Linked DNA regions of Arabidopsis thaliana. The protein of the gene in region 2 interacts with the protein of the main gene of each other region in a biochemical or structural test. Each region holds a gene or a part of one and is shown on either strand. Other genes may lie near its edges. The genes, in order: RGS1, GP ALPHA 1 and PSB29.

Evidence for each region.
Region 1: the proteins of GP ALPHA 1 (region 2) and RGS1 form a complex in vitro, tested with the Arabidopsis thaliana proteins (one study listed by BioGRID).
Region 3: the proteins of GP ALPHA 1 (region 2) and PSB29 form a complex in vitro, tested with the Arabidopsis thaliana proteins (one study listed by BioGRID).

The regions. Positions count from the first base shown.
Region 1 is NC_003074.8:9,527,279-9,538,419, forward strand, and holds RGS1 (REGULATOR OF G-PROTEIN SIGNALING 1), read left to right. Parts: upstream 1-5,334; 5' UTR 5,335-5,604; coding exon 5,605-5,684; intron 5,685-6,120; coding exon 6,121-6,241; intron 6,242-6,336; coding exon 6,337-6,400; intron 6,401-6,481; coding exon 6,482-6,566; intron 6,567-6,670; coding exon 6,671-6,744; intron 6,745-6,838; coding exon 6,839-7,119; intron 7,120-7,204; coding exon 7,205-7,443; intron 7,444-7,520; coding exon 7,521-7,645; intron 7,646-7,734; coding exon 7,735-7,856; coding exon of another isoform or gene 7,857-7,865; exon of another isoform or gene 7,866-7,881; intron 7,882-7,943; coding exon 7,944-8,132; 3' UTR 8,133-8,351; downstream 8,352-11,141. Other genes in the region: AT3G26070 (Plastid-lipid associated protein PAP / fibrillin family protein), read left to right, coding at 46-159, 250-345, 513-587, 691-758, 849-921; AT3G26080 (plastid-lipid associated protein PAP / fibrillin family protein), read left to right, coding at 1,720-1,995, 2,108-2,221, 2,309-2,404, 2,716-2,790, 2,896-3,126; AT3G26085 (CAAX amino terminal protease family protein), read left to right, coding at 3,564-3,633, 3,724-4,106, 4,183-4,243, 4,339-4,463, 4,545-4,607, 4,692-4,816, 4,978-5,119; AT3G26100 (Regulator of chromosome condensation (RCC1) family protein), read left to right, coding at 10,785-11,003, 11,099-11,141.
Region 2 is NC_003071.7:11,192,302-11,204,441, forward strand, and holds GP ALPHA 1 (G protein alpha subunit 1), read left to right. Parts: upstream 1-4,694; 5' UTR 4,695-5,167; exon of another isoform or gene 5,168-5,519; intron 5,520-5,656; 5' UTR 5,657-5,785; coding exon 5,786-5,845; intron 5,846-5,933; coding exon 5,934-6,006; intron 6,007-6,101; coding exon 6,102-6,139; intron 6,140-6,229; coding exon 6,230-6,319; intron 6,320-6,494; coding exon 6,495-6,572; intron 6,573-6,674; coding exon 6,675-6,782; intron 6,783-6,864; coding exon 6,865-6,966; intron 6,967-7,207; coding exon 7,208-7,263; intron 7,264-7,638; coding exon 7,639-7,773; intron 7,774-7,855; coding exon 7,856-7,949; intron 7,950-8,040; coding exon 8,041-8,100; intron 8,101-8,186; coding exon 8,187-8,266; intron 8,267-8,343; coding exon 8,344-8,521; 3' UTR 8,522-8,801; downstream 8,802-12,140. Other genes in the region: ARSK1 (root-specific kinase 1), read right to left, coding at 1-402, 488-611, 699-835, 1,167-1,302, 1,548-1,958; FAP2 (Chalcone-flavanone isomerase family protein), read left to right, coding at 9,469-9,875, 9,945-10,179, 10,307-10,382, 10,468-10,570, 10,705-10,773, 10,975-11,011, 11,101-11,175, 11,262-11,313 and 2 more. UniProt on the Arabidopsis thaliana protein: Exhibits a fast rate of basal nucleotide exchange. Guanine nucleotide-binding proteins (G proteins) are involved as modulators or transducers in various transmembrane signaling systems.
Region 3 is NC_003071.7:8,984,036-8,993,771, forward strand, and holds PSB29 (photosystem II reaction center PSB29 protein), read left to right. Parts: upstream 1-3,548; 5' UTR 3,549-3,747; coding exon 3,748-3,934; intron 3,935-4,045; coding exon 4,046-4,313; intron 4,314-4,404; coding exon 4,405-4,621; exon of another isoform or gene 4,622-4,789; coding exon 4,790-4,905; intron 4,906-5,035; coding exon 5,036-5,150; 3' UTR 5,151-5,376; downstream 5,377-9,736. Other genes in the region: ERF53 (Integrase-type DNA-binding superfamily protein), read left to right, coding at 2,018-3,028; DGK5 (diacylglycerol kinase 5), read right to left, coding at 5,377-5,454, 5,783-6,088, 6,179-6,295, 6,419-6,506, 6,694-6,768, 7,216-7,283, 7,394-7,476, 7,687-7,735 and 4 more. UniProt on the Arabidopsis thaliana protein: Involved in a dynamic process of vesicle-mediated thylakoid membrane biogenesis. Required for the normal organization of vesicles into mature thylakoid stacks and ultimately for leaf development.

The DNA.
Region 1 (11,141 bases), on a different chromosome or scaffold from region 2:
GATTGAGAGACTAATGCTGAGTGACTCTTGTCTGTATGGAGCCAGTTAGCGCGTAAAGTGGAAGCAGTTAATCCCACCAAGGAGCCTTTGAAGTCTGATTTGGTCAATGGAAAATGGGAGCTCATTTATACAACCTCTGCTTCGATTTTGCAGGCAAAGGTTAGGGCTTGTGTTGTTGTTGTGTTGTCTAAGTTTGTGTTCTTTTGCCTTGTTGTGTCATTCTCTTTTATCTCTTGAACAATGCAACAGAAACCAAGGTTCTTAAGATCAATAACCAACTACCAATCTATCAATGTGGATACACTTAAGGTGCAAAACATGGAGACTTGGCCTTTCTATAACTCGGTAATGTTTCATTGTGGCTTGACTTGGCTCTTAACAAAGGATTAAGACCAAACTTTTATCATCAATATAGCTCTTTGGAGAGTCTTTGCTTTTTATAAGTAAGATTCCTTTAGCAGAGTTTGTAAAATGAGTCTCATACATTATAGCAAACTACAATGTTTTCATAGGTAACTGGAGACATAAAACCCCTCAATTCGAAGAAGGTTGCTGTGAAACTCCAAGTGTTTAAAATTCTCGGATTTGTAAGTACAAAACTCTTACTGCTATATGTGTATCCACTATAAGAGAACCTTTACTGATTCAGACACCATATGCTTCTGTTACTGATTGGTGTTTGCTGTGCAGATTCCTATAAAAGCACCTGATAGCGCCCGCGGTGAACTTGAGATTACCTATGTGGACGAGGAACTACGGTTAGTAGTGAATGATAGTTTTCATTTTCATGTTTTATCAACAAAATATCCAAAACGTTTGAATATTGAAACAATGTTGTTTTTTTGCAGGTTATCAAGAGGTGACAAAGGGAACTTGTTTATATTGAAGATGTTTGATCCCACTTATCGAATCCCTCTTTGATCTACCAAACAAATGGTACCGAGCCATCCATCATACATACTTGCTACAACTTGCTATGTCTCTCTTCATCATGTATGTAATCTAACATAAGAAAAATTAATAAGAGGGAAAAAATGAGACGAGCTTCTGTCATTGTTTCAACTTGTTCAAATCAAAGATTCTGAATCTTGATTTGGTTGAGCAGTTAGTTCCAATCCTAAACTATGTGATGCTCAAGCAGTACAACAAGAAGACCTTGAAGCTCCTCAAAAATGCTTAGATCATTTTCTCTCTATATCTCATATTTTTCTTTCATCTTTCATTCATGTCTCATGTCTGGTTCCATGACCTTTCTACATTGTTTCTGTTGATTTATGAATCTTCAATAACACTACAAGTTAAACCAATTAGAAGTGAGTTGGTTATGGTCCGGTACAAAGATCACAACCGGAGAAGGATTGAAGAGTGGTCAAAGCGATGGTCAGAGTTGGTTGGTTCCGTCGAAACAGGAAGAAAGGTAGAGCCTTTTTGACAATTTGAAGAAAATAGCAAAGATCTACTTTTCCACATACGTTTTCGACGCCGTAATGAGTCAGAAACAACTAGGGCCTCTCGTTTTAGAAGAAAAGAGAGCAAAAAAACCTTATCTTTGTGACTTTCGGTGGTGTGTGTGATGTTGTTGTCGGTCATGGCGAAGACAGAGCTACGATCTCTCTCTTTTTCCTCTCTTATGTGTCTATCTTCGAACAGAGTCTCTCAGAAACGACCCAGCCACTCTTTAAAACTCCATTGGAAAAGCTTTGTCCTGTTTTGATATCCATGGCTTTACCTTGGTGCTTAAAGACTGGAGTTTTAACGTCTCCGGCCGCCGGATTTAATCATCCATCGGACAGTGGCTTCGCCGTTCCGACGAAGTTACTGAGTATTCGAAAAGGTGATCGGGAAAGATTGAGAATCCAAGCTGTTTTCAGCTTTCCTCCAAGAAACGGTGGAGCCGAGAAGCGGAAACAGCTCAAACATGAACTTGTCGAAGCCATTGAGCCTCTTGAACGTGGTGCCACTGCCTCGCCTGATGATCAGCTTCTGATTGATCAGGTTCTTGATTTCTCTTCATGTGGGAACCATTGAGAATAGTTTTGGTACACTAGGGTATAGAGAATGTGATTGAGAGACTAATCTGAGTGGTGTTTGTTTTGAATCATGATAGTTAGCACGTAAGGTGGAAGCAGTAAACCCAACCAAGGAGCCTCTGAAGTCTGATTTGATCAATGGGAAATGGGAGCTCATTTACACAACATCTGCTGCGATTTTGCAAGCAAAGGTTAGAACTTGTAATCTTTGAAACTTGTGTTGTTGTTTGTTTTTGGCTTGTTGTGTAATTTTCTCTGTCTCCTTGAGAATGTAACAGAAACCAAGGTTCTTAAGATCGTTAACTAACTACCAATGTATCAATATGGATACACTAAAGGTGCAAAGAATGGAGACTTGGCCTTTCTATAACTCGGTAATATTTCAAACCGCGACTGAATTCTCTTTTTGTACCATTTTCACAAGTAGGTTTTGCGATTTTGCGTTGTGTTAGACCATATACAAAGCTCTTTTCTCTGTGATGTTGAAACCTATTGATGTGATCCATTGCTATATAATATTCAAAATGTACGAAAGTTTGAGACTTTGTCACATATATGTATGATCATGTTCCATTGTGACTCACTAGGCAAGAACAAAGGAGGACTAATACCAAAGTTTTTATCATCAATATTCTTTCAGCAGAGTTTGTAAAATGAGACTTAGCAAACTACAATGTTTTCATAGGTAACTGGAGACTTGACACCCCTCAACTCGAAGACGGTTGCTGTGAAACTTCAAGTGTTTAAAATTCTCGGCTTTGTAAGTATTACCAAAACTCTTGCTGTTATAAGGGAAACTGGTAGTACTGACTCATACATACACCATATGCTTCTTTTACTGATCATTAGTGTTTGCTGTGTGCAGATTCCGGTAAAAGCACCTGATGGTACTGCACGCGGTGAACTAGAGATTACCTATGTGGACGAGGAACTACGGTCAGTAGTGAATGATAGTTTTTCATTTCTCTATGGAACTGACAACCAAAAACATTTGAATCTTGAAACAATGTTCATTTTTTACAGGATATCAAGGGGCAAAGGCAACTTGTTGTTTATATTGAAGATGTTTGATCCCACTTATCGAATCCCTCTCTGATCTATCGAAAAAAATAGTTTCGAGCTATCATACATACTTAAAATCGCTTGTTCTGTCTCTCTATTCATCATGTATGTAAAAATCTAATAAGAGAGAATAAAAAGAGACTAGCTTTTGTCAATGATTCAACTTGTTTTGATCGACATTGCACCACATTAGATTAAAAAAGCTCTAAACTTTGAATTCGGTACAGAAAATCAGAAAAGGACTCATGTCCTCTTCTTTTGAAATATGTTACAATAAAAATTTGGTTTCATTTCTTCTTCTTTCTTGGTGCGTTTTCTCTGATAAACGACGCCGTATGAAGCTGGCGAGACACAGACCTCTCATTTCGACGCTTTCTTCTTCGTGAAACTCTTCATTTGTTTTATATTGGAAACAGAGTCTCTCTTATGAATCAAAGCGACAAACTTTGAGAAGGCAGGCGAAAATCTCGGATGGGTTCCATCGCTCTGCAATCTTGGAGCAGAGGAGCTTCAACTTCTCTTCATCTCCTTTTTCGTCCAGGTAGGTAAGTGCGATTCCTAACTTGATATGATCATATATATGAGAATTCGACAAAGATTTTTGGTTGAAATTTGCTTACTTGATGATCAGTTGGCTCGAACCCTAAGCTATATGATGCTCGAAGAGTACAAGTAAGATTCTTTAATGTTGCCGCTTCTTGGTCCGAACAGATGATCTCTTATACTATAGTCTGTTTATTTTGTCTTTTGGGTTTTAAGTTTGATGTAAGAGCCTCTTCAAGTCGTAAATCACTTAAGAAACTCAAAAGAGAGTCACAACAAGGTAAAGACATAGGCTTAAGAAATGTTACAGATGAAGAAGTTTCTTCTCCAAGATTTGAGGAAGCTCAAGTTGATTCTTCAACTTCAAAGGACTCCATTGATGTTTTTGTTGCTGCTCCTCGAGACAAAGTGCTTCAGGCTTGCACTGTAACTTCCGGTTTGATGGCTGCACTAGGTCTGATCATCAGAAAGGTGAATCCCAAATCTGAAAGTTTATGATTTTGTGATTCTAGCATTTGTATCTTGCTGATTTGGTTACCGCTTGCAGGCGTCTCATGTTGCTTCGACTGAAGGATTACTGGTTCCAGACTGCTCTATAGATGTACCATGTAACATCTCGGAAAACGATTATGTTGTGTACTAAGAATCCTTTGAGAGATTCAGTAACCAAAACATGTTTTGTATTGCATGATCTTTCTTGCAGTTGGGTTTGAAACTTGGCATCTCGGTTTAATTGCTGGAATCGTTGTGTTTATATCGTCAAGTAGGTTCTTGCTACTTAAATCTTGGCCAGATTTTGCTGATTCTAGTGAAGCAGCAAACCGACAGGTCAAAACATTACACATTATATACATTTATACGATTCTTTAAACTCCGCTTATTGTCTCCTTTGGTATTCACTACTTGCAGATTCTCACTTCCCTCGAACCTCTAGATTACCTTGTTGTTGCAATGTTACCGGGAATAAGTGAGGTAACAATAAACAATCACAATAAAACACAGAAAGGCTCTCCTTTAGAAAATGTCGTTCATTGGTTTGATTTGGTGTATTCACAGGAGCTGCTGTTTAGAGGTGCATTAATGCCTTTGTTCGGAACTAATTGGAATGGTATTGTAGCGGTTGGCCTCATTTTCGGTTTACTTCATCTCGGGAGCGGAAGAAAGTATTCTTTTGCAGTTTGGTAAGCCGTTTTTACTGAACATTTTGGTACCTCAATGCTGATGAGAATTGCGTAGACCGAATCTTGATATTAGATGATTGCCTTTAACATGTTCTTGCATCTCTCTATCACATTTCCGAGGTTTTCCTATTGAATTCTTTGCGGTTTCTTGAAATTTTCAGGGCTTCGATTGTCGGTATAGTCTACGGTTATGCAGCTGTTTTGTCGTCGAGTCTTATCGTTCCAATGGCCTCGCACGCACTCAACAATTTGGTGGGAGGTCTGTTGTGGCGATATAGTTCCAAGATCAAGTCATTGGAGTGAAATAAACAAAATTTACAACAGGGTTGAATTAAAAAAGTATACAATTTTAATGGGTGGGTTTGTGAAATCTCTCAATAGTATAGGGTGGTTATGTCAAAAATCTATAATAGAGGGTGGTTATTGTAATTTTAATGTACCAACTTGTCACAAAGGACAAGTATGAAAAATCTATAATTATAGAAGTGAAAAGTGAAAAACCAATCAGAATTGTTACCGGAAAAAGGAAGTGTCTTCTGGTCAAAAAAGTCAGAGAAGAAGAGAGAAACGTGAACAATGAAGAGACAGAGACGTCTCTTCTCTTATGCGAAAGTGTGAATCTTTTAAAGCTTTTTGTTTCAACATCGATAAATGAAGTTTCTTTTATTGAATTTATAGAAATTTGCACACTTTACCTTGACATTAAAGCAACAAGCTTTGAAACCAAATAAAATCTCAAAAACCCAGAAAGCGAGTGGAGAAGAGAGAGCTGATATGCTACAATAGAAATGGCGAGTGGATGTGCTCTACATGGTGGTTGTCCCAGCGATTACGTCGCCGTCGCAATTTCAGTCATCTGCTTCTTCGTGTATGTGTTCGAGCTTAAAAATCCCATTTTTGGGTTTTAGTTTTGAAGATCTAGATTTTTCATTTACTGGGTTTGCTTGTTGACTCTTGACTTGAGTCAAAATCTCGAATTTTGTGTCTTTAATCGTTTAAAATTTTCATACGATGTCTCTCTTTGCTATTTTAACTCTTTGTATTGTAAGTGTTTGATGTTATGTATCAAAAGATCTGTCTTTTGTTTCGTTTCAGTTTCTTTTAGCTGGGAATTAGATGGTTTCAGTATCTTGATAGCAAGATTCATATATTATGTCGGAATCGATTATTGAACTTAGATTTGAAGTTCAAAAGCTTGATTTAATGGACTAATTGAGTGGATTTGTATCATGAGTTAACTTCCAAGTAGTTCAATTTCTCTATTAAGTTGATTCTATCTGATGGATTTCACTTTGTTTATTTAGGCTGTTATCGCGCTCAGTGTTACCGTGTTTGATTCATAAGGCTCCTCGTACTAACAGTAGCAGTTTCTGGATCCCTGTTATTCAAGTTATCTCCAGCTTCAACCTTCTCTTCTCAATTATGGTTAGACTACTTGACTTGATGATTCCGTTGCTCTTAAGAATCACTTCATTTGTTGAGTTTCTACACTAATAGACTGTTTTATATTTAATTTTCAGATGTCAGTTAATTTGCTTCGATTCAGGACGAAACATTGGTGGCGATATTGCTATCTTTGGGCAGGTTTGTTTGGAAACCATGATTCCTCATCTTCGTAAACAAATTGACAGTTATATCAATAAGTCTTGTATAATTTGGTTTCAGTGTGGATTGAAGGACCACTTGGGTTTGGTTTGTTGATGAGCTGCCGTATAACTCAGGCATTTCAACTATACTTCATATTTGTCAAGTGAGGTTCAATGTTGATCAAAATGTTTTTGGATTCCAATTCTATCTCTATTGGTGTAATTGAGTTTAATGCTGTTTGGTTGTTACATATTCTTTGCAATGTAGGAAACGTCTACCTCCGGTAAAATCATACATTTTCCTCCCCCTTGTTTTGTTGCCATGGATCTTCGGAGCTGCAAGTAAGAATTGTTCTGAACGTTATATGTACTGAGCAGTTCTTGGTTTCTCTTGTTTTGGATAATAATAACTCAAAGCTTTTGATTTTGCATTTAGTTATCCACGCAACAAAGCCTCTCAACGATAAATGCCACATGGGTCTTCAATGGACTTTCCCAGTTGCAGGCCTTCATGCTCTCTATGTCCTTGCTTTAATTGCATTCACAAGAGCAGTTCGACATGTAGAGTTTCGTTTTGACGAGCTTAGAGATCTCTGGAAAGGAATTCTCGTCTCAGCCACTTCAATCGTTATATGGGTAACAGCGTTTGTGTTGAATGAGATTCATGAAGAAATCTCTTGGCTTCAGGTTGCTTCAAGATTTGTGCTTTTAGTCACGGTATGAAAGCTAATACCAGGACTGTTCTTTATATTTGCAGTTGGAATACCTTTTTAACAGACTTCTGAGTTGATTCTTCTTTCAGGGTGGGATTCTCGTCGTTGTCTTCTTTTCCATCTCGAGTAACCAACCTCTTCTTTCACAAATCAGCTTGAAGAAAAGACAAAACTTTGAGTTTCAAAGAATGGGTCAAGCTCTAGGCATTCCCGATAGCGGATTATTATTTCGGAAGGAGGAGTTTCGACCTGTTGACCCAAACGAGCCACTCGATAAGCTTCTTCTCAATAAAAGATTTCGCCATTCGTTTATGGAATTTGCTGATAGGTACTCCATTCAATACCTGACCTCATATATATCCCGGTTTCACCATTTATTTAAACTAATTCGTTATATGCTGGTAGCTGCTACGCTGGAGAAACATTGCATTTTTTTGAAGAGGTGTATGAACATGGTAAAATCCCGGAAGATGATTCGATAAGAAGAATCTACATGGCTCGACATATCATGGAGAAGTTCATCGTCGCAGGTTAATTACATATCCATCTTCCCTCTTCTTTATAGACCTGTCTCGTGTGTTCTCTCTATAAATCTAACTAGTAATTCCTTAAAACACAGGAGCGGAAATGGAATTGAACTTATCTCATAAAACCCGACAAGAGATCTTAACCACTCAAGATCTAACTCACACTGATCTCTTCAAGAACGCATTAAACGAAGTCATGCAATTGATCAAGATGGTAAAATAACATCTCTCTTTCACTCTCTTACGCACGCCTTCAAGCTATTCTCTTGATTCTCATTTTTTTGTGCTCATGAATTTGAAGAACTTGGTAAGAGATTACTGGTCATCCATCTACTTCATCAAGTTCAAAGAAGAAGAAAGCTGCCACGAGGCAATGCATAAGGAAGGATACAGTTTTTCATCTCCAAGACTGAGTTCAGTTCAAGGCTCTGATGATCCTTTCTATCAAGAACATATGTCAAAGAGTTCCAGATGCAGTAGTCCCGGTTAAGGAGTCTAAAACTGGTACTAGACCAGAACCCAAACCAATGTTCATAGCAATCCAATCCATGTAATCTTCCTTCACATTTCTTGTACATGTCATTTTCTCTCTTGTTATACCTAACTGTAAGAGAAAATGTCCGGTTCGGATTTTGGTTTAGTTTTAAATGTGTATACCGGACAAAAACTATGGAACCATACTAATTAATATCTCGAAGAATTTATACGTATATGCCATCTGTTTCACCAAGAATAAAAAAGCACCTGCAGATTGATCTTCATGTCCTTGCAGAGTGATGATGTTGCATCACATGTTTCATGATGTGATGACATATCCATTGGCCTCGCTAAGGCTTTTCATCAACATTTTGACATAATGTTTTTTTCCACCACTATATTTTGACGTGTACAACATCTATAACGAGAAGGTGGGATGGTCATCAAATATTTCAATTTTAGAATATAATTTGTTACTGAAAAGAGAAAGTTGAAGAATTTTTTAGGTTTATCATATGATTAAATGATATTAAAAGTTTTAAATATCTATAAAATATAAAATTAAATATTGTTGAGCAGCAATAAAATGTCTTTAGGTAAGTTTTTAAAAAAAAAAATCATCTGTTACCATTTAAGCTCTAAATTATTCAGTAAAATTCTGCAAGAAATGTCAATTAAACCCTAAATTCAGTAACTTAGCCAGATTTATTCTGCTGTTAACATATAAAAATTAAATGTTCAAAAAATAAAACTTATATGTGTAGGTAAGAAGTCTTGTCAGCGAATGAAAAAAAAGTTTAAATTAATGTTTCATTATTATGGTGAATCTTTCCCAAATATTAGTGGTTCTCATCTCACCATAAATAAATATTATTTCCCAAAGAAGTTTTTTTTATTTTATTTTTGGCTGTCTACCATATGGTTTTGGTATATATATGGGTAGCAATTATTGGGTGTTGTCGATGTTCTCTCCAAGATAGTTTATAAAACTAAAAGGAATCTTTATCAGTTTATCTTTCACCAAATTAGTTAATTTCAATATATTTTTTTGGTTAAATTGTTTAGCTTATGGGGAATTCTCTAAATAGTAATTACATCTATTTTCTGTTCCAAGACTATTATGAATAAATTTTCGAAAATGCTACAAATTAGTTGTGATAATGTTATTTCCTTTTCATTCTTATATCTCAATCTTAATATCTTCATTCTATCTTTGTTTAAAACTCAAACTAAAATGAAAACTCTATAACATCTAGACATGAAAACTCTCACTAAAATGAATTTAACAAAATTTACTTCTATTTTCGGTGAAAATAATACTCCTTATAAACATGAAAAAGAATGAGGATGTCATCATAGTGGATAACTATGTAAGGACTCATGAGTAATATAATCAAATTATTAGCAGATATTAATAAACTACTATAAAGATCCGTTGGATAGATAGATAGATAACTTGTTCTACCACTCAAACCAAGTTTTGGATGCACACGTCTATATACACACATAACACATGCATACATGTATTGATCATCATGATGTTATATTCCATTACAATCAAACATATATGTGACATATAATCACAAATTTTCTTATAATTTGTTATGTTATTTACTGAGAAAGAGATCTGATCGCTTTATAAGTCCGCATAAAGAGACACCACAACTTTCTTTCTTCTTCATTCACTTCTATCAACGCCAAATTTGCAGACTTTCCCAGGACCAAAATTATATTAAAAAAAAGTTCCTTTTTTCTGATCAAATTGTGAAATTCGCTTGCTTGCTTTCTTCACAGTCAATTAATTCTCTAACAAAACATTCTTCGATCGTTCGTTTTCATCTTCTATGCTTCTCTGATCAGACACAAGAACACAACCAAAGAAACTCACTATAGCTTGTCTGTAGATTCTGATGTTCGAATTCTTGTTGTTGATGATGATTGAATTGATGATGATGATGGTTTGATGCAGATGGGTTTTCAAAAATCTCATCTTTTTTCTTAACAAGTAATCATTTTTATCCATCTCAAGTCTCTGTTGAATTTTCTATGATTTTGTCTCTGATTGTGAATCTGGGTAATGATCAAACTGTAGTATTAGTTACTAACATTTCCCCAAATGGATTGATCTCTCTGATGTGTTTGTTTGGTCAATCAAAATTGATTTCTGGGTTTTCTGTTGTGATCATGGTAAGGTCAAAAGTTTTGAGTTTCCGTGTGCAGAGGAGAAGGAGTAGTCCTTTGCGTGTGACAAACTGTTTTCTTATTATCTTCCGTATCAGATCCAATCTTTCTTTAAGATTCCTTTTTCATCTTTATAGAATAATTCATTGTTGATTCCTACACTTCTCTTCCAAGTTTTCTTCTTTCATTCTTGGTTGATTTGATTTGATTGATTCACAGATTCTTTCTCTGTTCTTCATTAGTCAAAAGGTTTCACCTTTTCTAGTTTCTGTTTATAACAATTGATTATGATTTGGAACCTTACTTAGTTTCTGTTTCTTATGTAGATCAAAAAGCTTAGAACTTGTTGAACAATACTAGAGACTAGAGAATTTGCAGGTAAGTTTTTGGGGATCTTGTTCTGTTTGTTTTCTCATATTTCAGGCTAATCAGAGTGTGACTTTCTTGTCTTAATTTGTGGTTTTGTAGATAATCTGTTTCAAAAATGGATGCTACGAGTGGAACTCCGAGTTTACAGTATATTAACTTGCCGGAACAATCTGTTTCGACTACTTCTCCTCCTGTGTCACCATTTCAGAGGCCAAAACGACATTGCTTTGGTGACACAACTCCAGGAGAGTTTCCTTTAGCAGCTAACCCTTCCATTGTCCTACATGTTCTCACTGAATGTAGATTGGATCCTCGTGACCTCGCTAATCTCGAGGTTTTGTTTCGAAAATGTCGGAAATGTTTTACTGAAATTTTCGAGGATTGATTGTTCTGCTGATTTGATTGTTGTTGTTGTTGTTGTTGTTTTAGGCAACATGCTCGTTCTTTAGCCAGCCAGCAAACTTTGCCCCGG
Region 2 (12,140 bases):
TCACACGTCTTTTGCCTTTACGGTGATGCCTAAACTTATTTATATCAACAAACTTCTTTCCTTCTTTGTTGTTATTGCCATCATGCTTCCTAATATCAACTTCTTGGATAGACTCTAAGACCTTAACCACCTCACACATTGTAGGTCTATACTTAGGATGTTGGCTTAGACACTTGTATGCTAGGGAAGCAGCTACCTGAGCCGCTTCTGTTTTGTGCTGGTTCGCGAGCCTCGGGTCAATTATCCTCTCTAACTTTCTTTGGTCCCTTAACATAGGCCGCGCCCATTCCACTAGGCTTTGTTCCCTCCGTGTTCGGGTATTGTCCATTGACCGTTTTCCGGTTATCAGCTCTAACAAAACTACTCCAAAACTGTATACATCATTCATCGTCGTCAAATGACCTACAACACATGTAAACCATTAAAGACATATCTCAAAGAATATCGCTTCACGGTAAAAGAAATAAATTCCTTACAAAAATGTTACCAGTCATGATATATTCGGGCGCAGCATAACCTTGTGTTCCCATCACTCGGGTAGTTACATGCGTATGTTCGCCTTCAGGTCCATCTTTGGCTAGACCGAAGTCAGATAATTTGGCGTTATAGTCCTGAAATATCAAAGAGTCAGTTGAGAAATACCACTTTAATTTGATTTAATAGTGGATACAAAATTTAAAAAGGAAAAAAAAACTCACGGAGTCTAACAATATGTTAGAGGTTTTAAAGTCTCTGTAGATGACAGGTTTCTCTGCTTCATGGAGAAAAGCTAAACCTTTGGCGGCTCCGAGAGCTATCTTCATCCTTATTCCCCAAGCCATTGCTAAGCTATTTCCTGTCCCAATTCACACACTTTTCAAAGTTAGTAATACTATTGAATATTATCTAAATTATAAAAAATATATAGTTTTTTAAGAAGTTATTAATGTAGTGTACGACCCATAAATAAAGTAAGAACTTGACGAAGTTAACGTGAACCATATGGATTCTTTTCTTCAATATTTTTTATTCTTGTCATTCTATAACTAAAACGTAATTAAAGTCTTCGTGGAGTTGTTCTTTTAGGTTTAAACAGAAAAAATGTTTTGTAACGCGGTCTAGAACATATATAGCAAAAATTGAAACAACTTTTAGCAAGTTAGGTAAAAATATAGTAGATGACGTACTTCGAAAGAGCTGATTCTCCAAGCTACCTCGAGGCATGTACTCATAAACAAGAACTCTTTGCTCTTCTTCACAACAAAACCCTATCAGCTTCACAAGATGTTTGTTACTTAGTTGTCCCAAAAATAATATCTCCGCCTGCAAACAAAAATAAATTTTGTATACACTGAAAAAAAAAACTTTATGAAGAAATTTCACAAAAGATATATATATTTAATAACATACTGAAAAATGGCCAGATTCATATAGCTAATTAAGAAGATAAACCAAAATTCAAAAAATATATAAAATAATCGAGACGGTCTTCGTAATTAAATTGTTCCTTGTGAATAGAAAAGTCTTGAATGTAGACAAAAACATACATAAAGAGAAAGAAATGTTACCAGCCATTCTCTATGGCCTTGATGGCCATGAAGATCAAGAGCCTTTACAGCAACCGGTTGGGCTTCGATACCCGGTTTAACCTTATCATCAATAAACCCTTTGTAAACCGGCCCAAACCCTCCTTCCCCCAACATGTTACTTCTAGAGAAATTATGCGTAATCACTCTCAGCTCAGACAACGTGAACAAACGAAGCTTCTGCGATGTGAAGGAGTGAGAGAGATCATCCATAACCGACATGGGCGAGCTTGGATCGCTTATGTCCGATAAAGACAGCCTCTTGAACGCTGGACAAGTTCTTATTTTCATTACAGCCTTCTCCCCTCCTTCGTATTTGCTTGCGTTCTTTGCCTTGTAACACCCCAAGAACAGAGATGTCAATGATGTTTTCTTCTTCTTGAACACTGCCATTTTCAACTTCTTCTTTTGTGTTATTTGGGGAAAAAATGGAGAAAGTTAGTCTTTTACTCCTTTTGATGAATCTTTTGTAGAGTGCGTAGGTTTAGAAATTAAGGATGTTCTAGTTAACCTACTTGTCTTCAAAGTCCTCTAATTTATAGTAGTTGTTGTGTCTTATTCGTACTGACCGACCTTTGAGTTTTCAAATTTATTTATATATACAAAAAGTTTGCTTTTTTTTTTTTGTATTAGTTGTATAAAAATGTTGAAGTTATTTTTGGTGGATATATTTATATTGTTCTAAGCTCTATGCTGATATTTTTTTCAGGAGAAACACGATTCCATGTTCACATTAATCCTCACAATAATATTGAAAAATAACGCAAGTTGTTTTCTTTTTCTAATCACAATATAATCAATATTATTGATTATAAATTCATTCAGTTGTTTGTACTTAGACTTCATCTCACCAAAGTCTACGGGCTATATAATTTTGCTTATATATTCAATGAATTGAAAATTGTCTCTCGCTCTACATTCCAAATACGATCTCTCGTTTCATTATAGACTTAGTTCTGTCTAATAGTTTTTGTTGTAATAATTTAGGTAATTTAAAAATGATTTTGTGAATTTAATGGTGTCTCTCTATATTCCACTATCTCGATTTCTAGTTTCATAAGACTAATTAGTTATTTACTAATAGTTTTTGTTCTAATAATTTAGGCAATTAATTTAAAAATGATTTGGTATACATTTCAGGCTGGCAAATAAATATTACGTATAAAGAAGATTTGATTCGCCTTGTTGAAAGGAGAATGAGATGATTAGGCCATAATTGGATGTCCGTTGACTTTGTTTCTTCCATGATTAAAATTTAAGAAGTAAGGAAGAGAAACAAATTTGAACCATTGATTTTGTTACTCTTAACTAAATAATCATTTATTCAATAACTAAAGGTCGGTTGGTCTTCAGGTACGAACGTTCTTCTATACTAACTTGTAAATTGTAAACGTAACAGATTGTGCAGTAGAGATTGCGGTTACAAATGTTTGACAACGATCACAAAAATTGTTTAACACCGCGTATTCTTCCGCCAACGTTTGCGGCAGCGGGTGGTTAAAAATTACACTATTTTTAAGTTTTAAATTCAAATAAATTTAATAACTTTTTTGACTCTTGGAGTCATGCTCTGAACACAAATGATTCATTTTCCGGAGAACATAAGTGCATTGTATCCGTCTAATCGTCCCAACATACTTCACTATAAATGTAATTTAATACTAACAATTAAATTGAAGTGTTGTTCGTCGCATGCATGTATGTACGTACAATAATTATATAGTTTCATTATCATAGAACTGTCGGGGAAATTGTGAATCATCACCAGCCGCCACATGAACTTATTTGCCGTTGTTCTGGTTTAAGGCTGGTAAGATTTATTCGGCGGCTGTAGGCCTGTAGCCCTTGAAATATGGTAGACAAGATCGTCCATATAATTAAGATTTTGTTTTTCACTTCTAAATTAATTAATGGGTGACTTGGGCGATTTTGTATTGTTGTTTAGTGGCTAGAAAGAAAACTTTTAACGATAAATTTACTTATGCAAAAATTATATTAGTTTAGTTTAGCAACTTTATATGTACTTAATTAGTAAAATAATACATTTAAATGTAAACTATTTGTACATATTAATGTTGTCCAAACAATATGCACTTTTTGAATTTTTTTACTGTATTCTCCACCTAGTTTTTCTAATTCATCCAAGCATTTTGATGAATTTGCATGTCTCCATAGATGAATTAGTATCTACTATCTCTAAAAACTCAATCTCCACCGAAGATATTGCTTAACCAATGTGCTCCTAGACCAAATCCAAAACCTTAGCCGCTTCATACTTAACATCCACTTTTGTAGCATCCTCAAACTGTTTTACAACCTTTTCAACCGGGACACAATCGCCTTGTCTTAGTAGTGAAGCGTAGGTTAATCATGGATGATGATTTTTGTTCTTTGACAACATCTGGTAAGGTTTTTGGTTTATGGCTCACCCTTTTTACTTTTTCGGTCTTTCTTATATAGTGTTTTGGTGGGTTTTTTCTCGTTCATTTTTCACGACCTTCTTATCCTATTACTAGGGTCATTAAATTGTTCGTTAGGTTAAAGAGATTTACAATATGAAACCGATTATGTCCATTAAAACGTGAATAAGACAGAAAAGAGCACCAAGAAAATGAAAAATAATTTAATGTATGTTCAGGAAATCCTATGAAAACATAATGATTGATCGGGTTTATTGGTTTTGTAGCTGGTGGTTTAAGTGGTTAGGGAAGCTATGTATTTATAATTTATTGATTCAATATGGTTTTGCATCTGAAATATATTTAAGCCCAACCAATAAATATACCATCACTCGCCAAGACCGTTTCTCAGTGGAAACATTTTGTGAGAAGTTCAAGTCGATGTTAATGATTGTAAGGATTTAACGGATGTGATGTTTTTGTAGGTTGAAGATTTAAAGTACTATATGATATGTTGTGTTTTTATCGATTTTGAATCTTTATTTTCTTTCCTAAATCAAAACTGCAATATATTTCCTAAGCTAGCAAAACCCATTCTAGATATAAGTAGAGTCCAGCTTGTAATGCAACTGCAAAGCAAAAATCAAGATATTTCGATACAAGGACTTGATGTCATAAAATTCCAAATTTGTTTTGTCTTGCCACACTTAGTAATTCTCTTCCAATAATGGTTAACTTAATAGTATATAAAATAAAAATGCATATAGGTTCCGTAATTAATCTTCTTTATCGTCACGAGAGGCACATCTTTTTTCAACATTTGACCACTCTCTCTCTCTCTCTCTCAGGACCTTTCGGCGTAATTTCGTCTTCCCCTTTGCTTAACATTTTCTTTCTTTCTTTTTGACCAAATATTAAAAATATATCCATTTTTATTTTATTTTTAATTAAATTCATAATTTGCATTTTATGTATTTATAATAAAAAGGAGAGAATAAATCCAAAAGAGTGAAGCAAAAACATTAAAGCGGAAAGAAAGTGGTAAAACAATAATAGAAACAGGAGAAGCAGAAGTACTACTTCTTCTTCTTCTGCTCTCTTCTCAGACCTTGTTTTGTACTTTCTTCTTCTTCTTCTTCTTCTTGTTTGCGAACTCCGATATCTTCTTCACTACCTTTGACTCCATTTCTTTTTCTTCTTCAGGTGAATTCTACTTTACTTTTCTTCTTACCCCAAATTTACTCTTTTGGGTTTTATGAAAGTTTTGTTTTTTATTACTCAGATCTTGTCCTAGTTCTCCTCCTTGTTCTGTTGTTTTTCTGTTTCGTTTCGAATTGGTTTTGTTTTTCAAGTTTAGGGTTTTGTAGATCAGTTCGTCGTTACTGTAGATTGGAAATGAAAATTATGATTCTTTGGATCTGATTATAGCAGTTCAAGTGTGAACTCTATCTATTACTTGATTTGCTATCTCACAGTTTTTGAATTTCTTAATGGTGTTAGCTACTCGACTTTTAGAGCTCATTTTCTTAACTACTGAACTTGTTTCATTTGAGAGGTACTAATCCAGTATATATTATAAAGTTTAATGCTTTTTCTTACTTGCATTCTTTGAACATGTTTGCTATTTTGGTGAGTGAAACTTTATGTATATTTATGAATTTTGAGCTAAAGTATTGATTGTTTCATAAGTAGGTGTAGGCATTGTCTTGTTATGAGAAGCAACTGTAGCTGGAAGCTCAAGTATTTGTTTTTAGCTGTGGAGCTTGAATCTTGATAGTTTTCGACTTCTATGTTATTACCTGTGGGGATATAGAAACAATCATGGGCTTACTCTGCAGTAGAAGTCGACATCATACTGAAGATACTGATGAGAATACACAGGTTGACTTAAGAGCTCTTGTAACACTCGATGTATGGGAGCATTATTTCTGATACTTCAAGAGTTAACTTGGTTTGTATTAATCTACAGGCTGCTGAAATCGAAAGACGGATAGAGCAAGAAGCAAAGGCTGAAAAGCATATTCGGAAGCTTTTGCTACTTGGTATGTAGACCTTGGATTAGAAATGTGAATGGCATGCCTTGATGAATCTTTTGGTAATAGTTTTCCTCTAATTTTCTGACTTGTGTTTTGTAAAGGTGCTGGGGAATCTGGAAAATCTACAATTTTTAAGCAGGCAAGTCCACAAGGAAAATTGATTGTACTCTTTACTTAAATTTACTTATGAATCCTGCTAATTGAATGATACAAATTTACTAATTTGCAGATAAAACTTCTATTCCAAACGGGATTTGATGAAGGAGAACTAAAGAGCTATGTTCCAGTCATTCATGCCAATGTCTATCAGACTATAAAAGTATGCAATACTTGAAATGACTGTGTCGGTTTTATCCTTCTAATTGGCGGTGTTTTCGAGTTCTTTTGGATTTACAATCTAGAGAATCATTTATATGAGTAATCAAATTTTTTTCATATGTTGATCTTGGTATATTGTACATGTAGCTTAATAGCTACTCTATATTGTTGAACAGTTATTGCATGATGGAACAAAGGAGTTTGCTCAAAATGAAACAGATTCTGCTAAATATATGTTATCTTCTGAAAGTATTGTAAGTGGTTAGATTCATAGGTCACTTGAGCTGTCTTTGTTAGAGTTTTGAGTCTTGTGAGTACCTTGTCTTATGGTAGTCAACTTATTATCGTAATATCAGGCAATTGGGGAGAAACTATCTGAGATTGGTGGTAGGTTAGACTATCCACGTCTTACCAAGGACATCGCTGAGGGAATAGAAACACTATGGAAGGATCCTGCAATTCAGGTGTGTTTGTGTGTGTGTGTGCACGTTTTATTTACTATTGCACTCAAAGTTGAATACATGATTTAAACGTTTCATTTTGTAGGAAACTTGTGCTCGTGGTAATGAGCTTCAGGTTCCTGATTGTACGAAATATCTGATGGAGAACTTGAAGAGACTATCAGATATAAATTATATTCCAACTAAGGTATAACCAAAGTATCATTCTTTGTTGAAAACATTTCAAGTAATGATCTTAAAATGGTTGAATAAAACTCATTGGATCAGCCTCGGAGGATCAATGTATTAACAAACAGAAGCCTTTTGCTTTCCATATTAGCCTAGTTGAGCTAGCATTTTCAGAGACCAGAGTCAATATGCAATTTCTGTGACATGTGTCTTCCGGAATGTGTTGTCATTGGTGCATTTTTTCTATGTTGGTGTTTCAGGAGGATGTACTTTATGCAAGAGTTCGCACAACTGGTGTCGTGGAAATACAGTTCAGGTACCAACTACTTTTTGTTTTACCCTTTTTCCTGTTTGATTGTTAGTCTTTCATAGATGAGTAATTGTTTGATAAGCTCTAAGTGTTAGTCTGGTTCACTAGGCAATATGATTAGCTAGGCGGTTTGTAGTAGCTGTGTTAACAGCTCAGCAACAATCTTGTTAATGTAGTCTCTCTGCGATGTGTAAGTTATTTGGTGAAATGAATAAAAGTGTTTACGGATTCGATTCCTATGATTGCCACTAAGATGTACTAATAGAACATATGAATTCCATACCAATATCAAACTTGTTGTTGTGGTGAATCTACTTGTAATGATCCGTTACCAAAGATGAATTCACAAATGGTATATGAGATAAAGCTTCGTTTATGCAGCCCTGTGGGAGAGAATAAAAAAAGTGGTGAAGTGTACCGATTGTTTGACGTGGGTGGACAGAGAAATGAGAGGAGGAAATGGATTCATCTGTTTGAAGGTGTAACAGCTGTGATATTTTGTGCTGCCATCAGCGAGTAAGCTCACTTCATTATAAATTATAAGATATCCTCGTACTGTCCACATATTGCCAAAACATTAACTGAGTTTTGATCATAGGTACGACCAAACGCTCTTTGAGGACGAGCAGAAAAACAGGATGATGGAGACCAAGGAATTATTCGACTGGGTCCTGAAACAACCCTGTTTTGAGGTTTTTAGTTACATTTTTATCTCATCTTTTAAAAATTTAAAGACACTCTTGAGATGGGTTTGGTTACAAAAACTTGGTTCTCTTTACGCAGAAAACATCCTTCATGCTGTTCTTGAACAAGTTCGACATATTTGAGAAGAAAGTTCTTGACGTAAGAAGAACTAAAGCATATTTATTTGTTTTGATAGGCAAGCAAGTCTTTTTGTTCAATAACGCTTTCTTATTCAATGTGCATAGGTTCCGTTGAACGTTTGCGAGTGGTTCAGAGATTACCAACCAGTTTCAAGTGGGAAACAAGAGATTGAGCATGCATACGAGTAAGCTTGTCTCCAAACTTTACTGATTCCCGCCAAACTGTTACCGTTATATGACCTTATTTTTAATTTGGATTCAGGTTTGTGAAGAAGAAGTTTGAGGAGTTATATTACCAGAACACGGCGCCGGATAGAGTGGACAGGGTATTCAAAATCTACAGGACGACGGCTTTGGACCAGAAGCTTGTAAAGAAAACGTTCAAGCTCGTAGATGAGACACTAAGAAGGAGAAATTTACTGGAGGCTGGCCTTTTATGACCTTATTATTACATATCTCTAGTAAATTACCTCTCCTTATTATTATAAGAAAAACTCGAAAACTGAATGACCGTGTAATTTATCTTTCGGGACAAAAGACTTAGCGATTCAAAATCTAATGTGTCTCGATGGCTACGACTAGTTTCTATTTTATCATTGTTTTTGTTAACATTCCTCTGTCTTTGACTTCTTATTTTTTTTTCTCATCAAAAACATCTCATTTTGATCTTGTTTTTGGGGTTATATTATTATTAAAATGAGGCATCCACATCCCGAAATCTAGAAAGTGAAACACAACACAAAACGTAACTTTATCAGTACTAAAAAGTTTTGGAATGTTCCTAACATGAAAAAGTTCTTACATTAAAAAAAAGTATGGGGGTGAAACTGAACAAATACAAAATATGATGTAAAAACTGAAATAAAAGTAAAACACATGGGGTCTACCGTGATTTCAGAACATTCGAAAAAGCGACTTTAAAAATAATTGCACCGAAGAAAGAAGAACCCTGAAAGCAAAAAACTCTTCGCCGTTGTTGTTTCTTACGTCAAAGAATATTCCTTCTTCTCTTTCGTTAATAGATCCCAAAAAAAAAAAAAAGCTTCATTGATTCTTCTTCCTCTGTTTTTGATTCCGTTTTCGAGCAATCCTCTGAAACATGTATGTTGTTGTTCTCTCTTTCTTCCAATGGTGTTCTGATTTTGCTTTTTCTGTTATACGATAATGATAACAATCGCTTCTTAGTTTGATTAATACGAAACTCTCAAAGATCACGAAATTGGTTTTGTTAGGGAACCATTTAGATCAAGGCTTGTTTGTGATTGTTGTTGTTGATTCAGCTTTGATTTGATTCGTTAGCCATTGATTTTGATTTGAGAATTTGTCTTTGTTTGATTTTTCTTGCAGAATCTTTGGTACAATTGGAGTTATATTCAAAAGCTTATAAATGTCAAATATGGATCCTAATTCAGTTTTACCTAAGAGAAGTTTCTTACAACATGAGTTGTTTTCACAATTACATATACCTGGAAGCTTAGCTTTCGAAGCATTTAGTTGTATCTCTAAGTTTACAGGAGCTTTGCTTTGTTGGTTTTCACATGGAAACTTGCAAAAAGAAGTATCTAAACATCAATGGGGATTAACTTGTAAGAGCCGTGATTCTTTAAAACATGTGTTTGAACATAGGAACGTCTCTGTGTTCCCATTTCACTATGTATCAAAAGATATTAGTCCTGGCTTCTTTGGAAACATATCTAAATCCACTATTCAGCATTTTGTTAATGAAGCTGAGAGGCTACATTCGTGTTCTTTGCTCTCTTTGGCGGCTGCGATGATACCGTCTTTGAATGTCATGTAAGTTTAGTAATATTGTTTAGTGCTAAAACTCTCTTTGGGGAAGTTTCTGATTGTAGATTTTATTAGGTCTGCAAATGGACTTGCTCTGCCACTAGGGAGTAATGATGTTAAACTTAGGGAGAACATTGAACATAGGACTTGTCCGGAGAACACTGAACATAGGACTTGTCAGGTGGGATGTGAAGAATATAGTGGTTTGAGTTTTCAAAAATTAGACTGGACAAGACAATCAGTGGAGCCTAGGACGGGGATCGAGTTCCCGATGTTGTTGAAGGAGAATGCTTCGCGATCGAATTCTGAGGTTCTTATAGCTTTTTCTTCCTCAGTTTGTTATTCTTTGTCATTACAACTTATGTTAGAGTCACCAAAGAAGAGATTTGATTTAAATTTCGAAAAGTTAATACGTTTTGAATTCATCATAATTTAAGGTGCTTGTTGCAACGGGATCTCGGACAATGAAAATTATCAGAATTAAATCTCTAAAAGTATATGCATTTGGTTTTTGTAAGTGCATTCTAGCTTTGTATCTTTCTATATATATGGAACAATTTGTCATCTTTTGCTTCTAACTTGAACTTCTCTGGATTAGATGTTCACCCTTCCTCGGTCTGTCAGAAGCTTGGCCGAAAGTATGCCTCGGTTCCAGCAAGCAAACTTGACAAATGCGATGACTTATACAAAGACCTTCTTAGGTATTATAGCAATCTTTTTCATATTATTAGAATTGTGCACTTTTATTTGTTTGAAGTCCACTCTAATCTGATTTAGTTGGTGTAGCTTTGATTGGACATTTCGTCTGAAAGTCTTTTATTTGAGTTTTTTTCAGGGAGGATATTGTTATGAGTGTGAGGCTTGTGGTTAACTACAATGGCTTGAAGATCAATACTGTGAGAGAGTAAGTGGAAGTTGCTACATATTGAACATCTTGTATTGTTTTGAACTATGTTCATGAATCGTGAAGGTGTTATGGTCCTTAATTGATTCTCACTTTTAGTTTCTTTTATTTTAATCTATTTACTTGCCATTTGATGATTTGAGGCGCATTACACTGATAGATGGCAAATTAATCCCTTCCCTTGTTTGTCTATGTTTTCAGTGTTTTCGAGAAATCTCTGCGTGCTCGCTTGGTTAAGGTAAATGATACACCGAGTGTAGTTTGTACTCTGATAAGCACTGTGGATTACGCTTTGCTACATCATACGCTTCTCCATTTTTATTGCAGGCAAATCCAAAAACTGATTTCAATTGTTTGAATGATTTTGGTTCATTCTTTAGACAAGACATTCCAATACCCGCGGTACATAATGGCTAATGCTTACACTCACACTTTACATATAAACATACATAAAAGGAGTATGACTCATTTTAGTGGCTCATTTGCAGGGAACAATAATAGACTTTCGGCGAACAGAAGATGGACAGCTAATCACAGAGAGTGAGTAATAATTATGAAGCTTCCTTCTCTATGCAATTTATTGTATACCTGACCTGAACATGGCCAACGTTTGCAGTTGGTGGTAACCTGATTGGAGCTGTCCGAAGCAAGGATCTTTGCAGTTAGTTCTTCATTCTAATTATTTGTTTTCTCGTTTTTGTTTGCGTACTAAAAGTCCAAGGGCTCTGAGATTTGTGTACATTGCAGGAGCATTTTTTGGTATGTACATTGGAGATGTTCCGGTGTCAGAGCAGACAAAGGAGGAGATTGGTAGAAAAGTGGTGGGAATCATAAAGAGATGCTGAAATCAATTACTTGTTAGATTTCCAATTGCCTCTGAGTTTTAGAAGAAGGCAATTGGGTTAGATTTACGCGGTCATGTCTAGATATTGTCAATCAAAATACTTTGTAAGCAGCTTGGAGGAAGTTATGTCTTAAGTTGTATTAGATAGTCTTGATTTTTATGTTCTAGTTCGTTATGATTGTCCAATATGCAAATTGTGAAACTGGTTGACAAGAAATGAGATCCAACATTTAATATTAAAAAATATAAAACAAAATTTCAAATTCAATTAATGATTACATATGAAACGTTTGAAGAAAATAGAACATGATTTCCTATGATCTTCAGTCGGCTAAGTACAAATAAACTCTCCATCTCTAAATGAAATAAGAGTTTTGTTGCTCTTCTTGGATCTTAATCTGAAACAAGATATTAAAATTTTGTAAAATTTCAATAACATTTGAATTTTTAGAATAAATCTTATTTAATTTATTATATGTTAATATGCAATCACCTTTATGGTTTTTTTGATATGGTTGAGAGA
Region 3 (9,736 bases), 2.2 Mb from region 2:
TGAGGTTATTAATGATTTAAATACTGATTATACTGAAATTGCACAATTGTTTTGAAAATGATAGTATGTTCTATACTTGACATCTCAATATTTTGACACTACTACACTTTAAGCGATTAATGAAAAAATATTAAAGTTTCAATCAACTTTGCACACAAAAAAAAGTTTCAATCAACATTTGAAGAGTGTCGAACATGCACCTCACCAATCACATTACACTATAACTTTTCTACACCTTTCTTTGGGATGCTAAATTTCAATGAAAATTTTCTTATTAAGTTTCTATTTGCTAAAGGGGGCAGAAACATCAAAGGTCAAATGATTTAGTTACCAAAGTCAACGGCTTAACATCATAAAATCATCTTCTAGGAATCAATGTCCCTTTGAGTAGCCTTCATAGTATAATCTTCAAAACTTTGGCAAGTTAATATATAAATATGAAGCACTCATAATATAACTGGTATAAGATAATGGTTTGGGATTTGACATTCGTTGCATTCTTAATCAATCTAATCGTTTTCTCAAACTGCTGCCAATAAATTTAAAAGAAGAGAAAAACTTATTAAGTAGAATGATGGACCACGTTAAAATATCTTAATAAGAATACTACATAAAATACTAATGGATAGTGTATAAGTTTAATTGGAATAGCAAGTTTTATGATTGGAGAGATAGAGCATAGAGAGATAATGAAAGTGGAGAGAGCTGACCCATTCATTCACCGACTTTTTAAGCTTTAAGCTGTTGACTTTTTCTTCTAACACGAACCTTTTCCCTTGTCTTTGTTTTCTTTTTGTTTTGTTTTGTTTTGGAGTTTGTTTATCTTTATCTGCCGAAAGTTTAAGACTTCAGCCTCCCACCTTGGCACCTCCTTGCGTCCACGTCATCTTAATATGTACCAAGGTTTCTAAGTTCTTCATGTCAATAGACATTATAACATATTTGGAATCCATATTATGCAAGGAGACATCGGTTTTACTAATGCGAATTGAGGGGCTTGTATAAAATCGGTCTGCTTCAGAAAACATTCCATTTTTCAACCCTTGAAAGTCCATTCAGTTTACCATCCAAGAGTTTTTCCTTGTTGTGAATGATAAGAAAATCCATAACATTTATCTAATTTTATCGTATTGGAAAAATAATTTAATATTTCTGAATACATTTATTAAAAATATAGTTAAAAACGATGTATTTTTAGCGTTTTATAATTATTTAGCATTATTTAGATGTTTTCGTTATTTTGTTATTACATCATTTTAATTATTATTCATGTGACTTGAAATTAATTACTTTTTAAGGTCGAATCTTTTTTTACGCCTGCCTTTACACTTCTTATTAGAAGGTTATGTATCGAAACAGCCATCCAAAATTTAAATAAATTCTAAAAGAAGTTATATATATTATGAATGTATGGTGATACTGACATGGGTAGGGTACATTCTTTTTCTATTGAGTTAGTTGATACGTTAAGTTGGATGAGATATAACTTATACTATCATATAAGCTTTTTTTAATTTGTGTGTTTCAAGTTTGGTCGGTTTTGTTTATGTCTTTTGTAGGTGGGGTATACAGAAAAATAAGAGAAAAAAAAACAAAGTCAAAGCTGACTTTGACGACAAATCGCTAACCTTCGAGAGATGATGATAACAAGCCTAATTAAAATACACGTTACGTCGCAATCAATTGCTTCAATCTCATTCTCATTGCATGTCATCCTTAGCCGCGGTTAGCCGACCATACTATCAACGATGTGCATACTATCAACAATGTATTTGTAATAATTAAGTAGAAAAATAAAGAATGTTCCACCGTCCAAAAGAAACACAAGTACGGTCCTGAGAGGGCTTGAGATATTTTGCTTAGTGATATATGTCAACATCTTAGTTAAGCCCCACCGGTTCTGATATAAAAGTGGGGAAAATATTTCATAACCACACAACAAATCTCTCTGTTTCTCCCGCTCTTGCTCTGTTTTCTCAAAGACAAAAGAGGACATCGTCGTTGACTCCTCTTCTCTATGGCTACTGCTAAGAACAAGGGAAAATCAATCAGGGTCCTTGGTACCAGTGAAGCAGAGAAAAAGGATGAGATGGAGTTGGAGGAGGAGTTCCAGTTTAGTAGCGGCAAGTATAAAGATTCGGGTCCTGGCTCGGACATGTGGTTAGGAGATGCTTCCTCTACGTCTCCAAGAAGTCTTAGGAAGACTAGAACCTTTGACCGACATAATCCCTATCTCGTATCTTCTTATGCTACTCCTCAGCCGCCAACAACAACTACATGCTCTGTCTCTTTTCCCTTTTACCTCCCTCCAGCGATTCAAAATCAACAACGATTTTTACACCCGAATGACCCTTCAGGACAAAGACAGCAACAAATGATCTCGTTTGATCCTCAACAACAGGTGCAACCATATGTTGCACAACAGCAGCAACAACAACAACATCTATTGCAGTACTGGAGAGACATTCTGAAGCTGAGTCCGAGCGGAAGAATGATGATGATGAACATGTTAAGACAAGAAAGCGATCTGCCACTGACGAGGCCACCGGTTCAACCCTTCAGCGCCACCAAGCTATATAGAGGTGTCAGGCAACGCCACTGGGGAAAATGGGTTGCCGAGATCCGTAAGCCACGAAACAGGACACGTCTCTGGCTAGGGACATTCGATACAGCAGAAGAAGCCGCCATGGCCTACGACCGCGAGGCCTTCAAGTTGAGGGGAGAGACCGCTAGGCTCAATTTCCCTGAACTTTTTCTCAATAAACAAGAGCCAACTCCCGTGCATCAGAAACAATGTGAGACGGGGACTACTAGTGAAGACTCAAGCAGAAGAGGAGAGGATGATTCGAGCACGGCATTGGCAGTAGGAGGGGTGAGTGAGGAGACGGGTTGGGCTGAGGCATGGTTCAATGCAATTCCAGAGGAATGGGGACCTGGAAGCCCTCTATGGGATGATTACCACTTTCCCATTTCTAACCATAAGGACGATCTTGACGCCACACAAAACTCTTCTTCTGATACAATTTAGGACCTTTGTTAGAATATAGATATGCTTAGTTGTATGACTGATCTAGCTTGTGTTTTTTTTTTGGGTGGAGACAGTTTTTGTCATCTTCCACATTTTAGATTCTATTTTCGACCATCATTTTTTTCTTGATCGGTGACTATGAATCTAATGGGGTCAATCATTTTCACATATAAAACTTAAGTATTTGGTGTTTGTACTTCATCAGTTCATCTTATTCCATAGAAAGAGAGTGAGAAGTGATCAATAACCCTTTTAACTGAAAAAAAGAAGAAGATCAAAACCTAAATAAGATTTAAGTACATATGTCTAATTCGACGTAAGACATTTTTGGAAACGATCAATGTACTAACGAGTTGAATTCTGATGAATCTTGAGCATGAATAAACGGACTTTGTAGTTTGTACAATTGATAATGAAACAGAGAGCAACATTATGTACATGTGATATATGCTGCATTTATTTATGGGCTTTTATTAGATGGACCGAGCTCTAGCAAAATCCAAAGTAAATGGGCCTAATCCTAACGTGGACAGACAAGGGACACGTGTCACACTACCGACATCTCGTGGAGTTGGATAAGCCACTCGAAAGTCGAAACTCAGAAGATCCAACCAGAGCCATCATCATCCTTCCAATGGCTATTACTTGAGAACTCTTCTGATTAAACATAGCAACAACAACAACTCTTCTTCTCCTCTCTTTCTCACTTCAATTTAGCGATGGCTGCAACTGCAATCTCTTCTCTTTCCTTCCCAGCTTTGGGTCAATCGGACAAGATCTCCAATTTCGCATCTTCTCGTCCTCTCGCCTCCGCAATTCGCATCTGCACAAAGTTTTCTCGCCTTTCTTTGAATTCGCGTTCCACTTCGAAATCTCTTATTCACTGCATGTCCAATGTTACCGCCGGTGACTCTTCTTGAACTTCACATTGCATTTCACAATTCATTCTCCTTTGTTTTGTATTGAAAAAGGCTCTGACTTTATCTGCATTCACTCTCTTGTGGTTTTGTTGGTCAGATGTGCCTCCTGTATCAGAGACAAAGTCGAAATTCCTAAAAGCTTACAAGCGACCCATCCCGAGTATCTACAACACGGTTTTGCAGGAGCTCATTGTCCAGCAGCATTTGATGAGGTATAAGAAGACTTATCGTTATGATCCTGTTTTTGCCCTTGGATTTGTCACTGTATATGATCAGCTCATGGAAGGATATCCGAGTGATCAAGACCGAGATGCCATTTTTAAGGCTTACATTGAAGCCTTGAATGAGGATCCTAAGCAATACCGGTTTGCTTCTTCCTGCTTCCATCTTCTCCTTGATAATGAATGTCTTCTTGTTGAATGTCTTTTTCTAAAGATGATAACTTTTTTTGTACAGAATTGATGCTCAGAAGATGGAGGAATGGGCACGAAGTCAGACTTCTGCTTCACTAGTTGACTTTTCCTCTAAAGAAGGAGATATTGAAGCAGTTCTTAAGGACATTGCAGGAAGAGCTGGTAGTAAGGAGGGGTTTAGTTACAGCAGGTTCTTCGCTGTTGGGCTCTTTCGTTTGCTTGAGCTTGCAAGTGCTACTGATCCAACTGTCTTGGACAAGGTGATTCTATTCGTCTTCGGTTTGCTAATCTATATTAACAGCTTAATCTTGTGTTTAGAGGAAGAAGAAATGTTGCTAGTTTTGTATCCATTATGTTCACTGGCAATGTGCAACTGTATTCTCTCTGACATCTCACGGTAATTTTGATCTTTGTGTCTCATGAAACAGCTTTGTGCATCCCTAAATATCAACAAGAAAAGCGTGGATCGGGACCTGGATGTGTATCGTAACCTGCTTTCAAAGCTTGTCCAAGCCAAGGAATTGCTTAAGGAGTATGTCGAGAGGTACTGATACTGAATCCCTATCTAAATAGACTAGGCACTGGTCTATTTTTGAATGAATATACGGTGCTTGCTGCACCATGAAACTTCTATATAGAGCCTAACTTGGATCTTTATACTTTTGGTTACTCAGGGAGAAGAAGAAGCAAGGAGAAAGAGCCCAATCTCAGAAGGCTAACGAAACAATCTCCAAGTGTCTGGGAGATACTCTATATAACCCATCTTTCTTGGTTGAACGGAAATCTTAGAAAATCATTTGTGACTTCTTTTTTTGTTTTCTTAGCAACAACTATGCCCAAGAACATATATATCTCATTTCTAAGAACATTTCAGACGTGTATATGTTTGCTTTTTTTCCTTTCAATTACATGAGTTTACATAATGTTGATTCATGTAGTATTTTATACATTGATGAGGTTACTGTTGTGCTGTTACTAGTATATGACAAGTTTCTTTAAGATTTAGGCACTGTCTTCAGAGCACATGTGACCAACCATGAACATTTGAATTTCTCCTCCTTGAAGCCCTTCCTTTTTTATTACTGTGTTCTCCCTATAAAAAAAAGGTCAGATTCTATGTTTAGGAGTTGCAACATCTGAAAGTTTCGCATTTGGCGTCTCTGCACTGTCCTGCTAACTGCTGCAGTACATGTGCGTTAAACGAGAATCTGTGTTGCTATAAATCCAGATACATTATCTCGGCCATTAAACGTGAACAACCAAACAAAAGCAAAGAAAAAAGATGGTTACCAATCTAAACCAGTTGCTGCTAGTTGGCTCCTTTATGAAAGAGTGAATAAAAAAATTGGAGTCCGGAGGAAGAATGCATAGAATCAACAATGAAAATGGTTAATTGTCTAACTAAGTTGAGAAATATCAACCTCATCAGGAATCTTGAAGGTATCCGCAGCACCAAACTTTCTAAATTCTTCGCCTTCAGCCACTGAGTCGTCTTCATTATCATCATAATCTTCTGCACCATCCTGATGGCGGGGTGTTGAAGGGTCAAACACACTTCTGGACCGGCAGTCATGAGTTGCAAGCATGTTCACTTGGCCAAGGTGTGAAATCTCTACCATCACAGTTTCATCATCCAGTGGCAGTGGCTGTTTCCAGGGCTCCCCATCCATCCTCATGAATGTATGGTCGGTTGCACCTTTGTGAAATTCGAAGCGAATACGATTTGCCTAATCACAGAAGTTATCATTTGTATGCACTCAATCATCACATCTTTATTTGTGTGTATCGTTATCATTTCCAACTTGTACAATTCTTACCTGGGCAAGTCGTGTCCCATGTCCATTGGGAGCGAGCAGAACAAGACCATGCCAAGCATTTCTAAACCCAACAACCTCAATGAGGCCATCATCTACAAATGGTGGAGTCAAGCCTCTCTGTTTGTGTCACAACAAAGAAAAATGCATATTATTTTACCATGGCGAAGATAAATACACAAACGAGGATATATCAGAAACTTATGTAGCACTCAGGCAATGTCAAGAGTTCGTAAAACCTACATCACGTTGTTTCCTGGGATTTGGTGTGCCCCAAGGATTTAATCCTCCCGAAAAGCTGGGCAGATTCAGACATACAATGGACCTGATGCTGCAAGAGTAGAAACAAATGTCCGAATTGGAGTAGTTCATATTCGATCATGTAACCATTGCTTTGTAACATTTGAAATGTAACCATATATAGTTAAAGGTTACAAACAGAGAAAGATCCCAAGACTATCCAACATGTCCATCCTGAACTGTGTCCAATGGGATCCCTCAGGATTAATAAAAATTACCTATGTGGTATGTGGAGGTCCTGCCACTGGCCATTTCTAGTTGCAATCTTAACCTTGGCAAGCTGAGCTATATTCCTGCATTGGAAGCCATAGAGCTTTCCTTAACATTGTGATAGAGAGCAAAATCATATATAAACAGAAATTAAATTACAGCCAAAAGACAGGAAATGTAAGAAATGTGAACCACTTAACCGAGAATATAAAACCAGCATAAGATTACATGTTTCGATATTGATGTTGGAGAGTATTTCAAATTTGATGTTGTTTAGCACACAACGAGACCCAAGCAGTAAAAAGAACAAATGCTGAAAATAATGATGGGTACCAAATTTCTAATTACTGACACTAGAACAGTATACTAAAGACAAAAGATAAGGCAGTAGTGTTGCAGAGCATTATAATCATTCATGTCCAAGAATCTCAGAAAGAGAAAAACAGTGAATGAGAATGAGAAGTTGAGGGGGACCTGAGACTCAGAAACAGAAAACAATGAAACGAAAAGTATGTCTACATCTTACACACCGTGAAGCAGGGTGGAAAAGAGAGGCACAAAACCATCCTTGCGTGCAACCAAGCTTTACATACGTACTCTGGCATTGTAAAGCAAAATGCAAAGTATTTATTCTTTGTTTAGTATAAATCCCAGTGAAGGGGTATTAAAAGAGAAGGTGTAATCTAAAAGGTCAAATTCAAAAGGTACCTGATTAACCAGCTGATTCTTAAACTTTTCAGGGTGAAGCTTCCTCTCAGAATGAAACGCATAAGAAATCTGAGCATCCATTCCTTCATAAGCACAATAGAAAGAAGAACTTTCAAGGAGATTTGTCTTTCAAGGATATCAGCTGGTTTCGTTTATTTAATTTCAATACAAACAATGCAATAACTAGATTGAAACTCAATAAGTTAGCTCATCAACCAACTCCTAAGGGGAAATCTAACTTTGCTAATGACTTGTGGGAAATCCAAAGTTAGATTGAAGCTAAAATATCTCACCGAGGCTAAAGTAATTCCAGAACCCTCCTCGAAAAGTGTGGCAGCCTTCCTGAAAAACATAAAGGGTGTGTTTCTATATAAGATAAGACAGAAAAAAAAGGAAGAGACACAGCTATATAATAATAATGGGAAGAAGAAGGTAAATCACCTTGTTTAGTTCATCAGTTGGAGAAACACGGTGAAATGCATGTAGAGAATGTGGTAACTCAAGAGGAGCAACAGGATCACAAGAACCACCTTCTTTGGGAGTTTTCATCCTCATAAGTATGTGCCAACTTGAAGCAGCAGATAGATAGTCGTCTGTTAGTTATTCACCAAAAGTAAAGACTAATAAAAACTACTGTGGAGACAGATATGTAAAACATTACTTGTCAATCTTCATCACTTTTGCCTTCAACACTTGTTCCAAAAACGACTCCACTGCAGTCCTATCTGTTCCTGGATTCTTCTTTCCCTGTAGAGAGATACATACACTTAATAATAATAATAAAACATATGCAGGCAAGTGTATTGAGAGGAGGAGTGTAGTAGTAAGTAAGACACACACCCATCCAAAAGCAAAGGGAAGGTTGTTTCCTGTACCCAAAGGTACAGTGGCAATTGGAGGAGGATGTGACAATTTAAGGTCACATACAACTCCAAGGAGCCACCCAGCAGTGCCATCACCTCCTGCAACCTAATAATAATGGATGGCATTAGATGATGTTTCATTCAATTGGAGAGAAAGAAACAAAGAAAACAACATTCTCTTACAATGATTTTTAATTTCTCCCGAATCTGACGAGCGAAATCATCATCTTTGAGCCTCTCCAGGTTAAGATAGATTCTGCGGAGCACTTTATCTGGAGTCTCCTGGTCGAGATCAAAGACCTGATTGTGATTGAGAAGAGATCGGTAGGTGAGAATGAGTTCGCCACCCAACTGACCACCGCTTTTGGAGTTGATGAAGACAAGGACGGGGCTCGCAGGTGTAGGACGACTCTCCTCCTCCTCCTCCTCTTCTGTTTCCGCCGAGAGGACGTACGTAGGGATGTAGAACTCCTTGAGAAAATCTGATAAACTGTTGTATTTCTCCATTGTCGCGCAACAATTTTGGTAGAAGAAGACGATGATCAAGAGGAATCGGGATCTGAGAAAGTGAAATTACTTTATATAGTAAATAAGAAAATATACTTGTCTTTCAATAAACGTACAATTCGAAGAAGAAGAATGAAGAAAGAGATTCATCGAATAAAGGAGGAAAGTTCCACACCTGCGAGATTCTTGGCGGCTACGGAGCAGTTGGCCCCTTTTTCTGACGCGGACTCGGTCATGTGCTGCGTTTGCATTGTTTGATCCAAAATTATAGTGGTCATGAATGTTTAGCTTTACTTTTAAATTTACTAGGTGCTATTGAATTTTGTATTTCTATACATTTGAATGTATTTTGATATCAAGGTCATGAATGGTTGGCAGATTTTGAGTGATTTTTAAGATTATGGCCGTCTCATTGGTAATCACGTTTAAACGAGGCTGTTAAATTTTTTATAGCACTTGTAGAGAAGGCGGTCAAAGATAGCCAATGAAAACGTGAGTATGGTAAAACAGAGCAATTAAGAATTTATAACAAGAATTTTTTGGCGGGTGGGGTAAAATGCTGTCGGATTCTATGGATGCTCCATCCGTTTGTATTTATTGTTCATAGAAAATTTAAAAGGTCAGTTCAAATTGTTTCCGACTCATACACGGAATATTCTATATTTAATAATAAATTAATAATATTTATTATTAGAAGATTTAAAATTATGATTCTCTTATCATATTTGTTTGATTTTAAAACTGTTTTGAATAATTATATAATACATAAAGTAACAAAAAAAAAAAAATCTTTTACTTTATATTGTAATTTAAATTTTAGAAAACATACATATTACCTAATATTATCTAATTAACGAAAATGTGTGTTTAACATTTCAAATCGACTAAAATATTTAGATAATGATTCAAAATCATATTATAAATTAAAAATATTCAGAAAATTTTGAAGGCAATTTTTTCAGAAGAACAAATA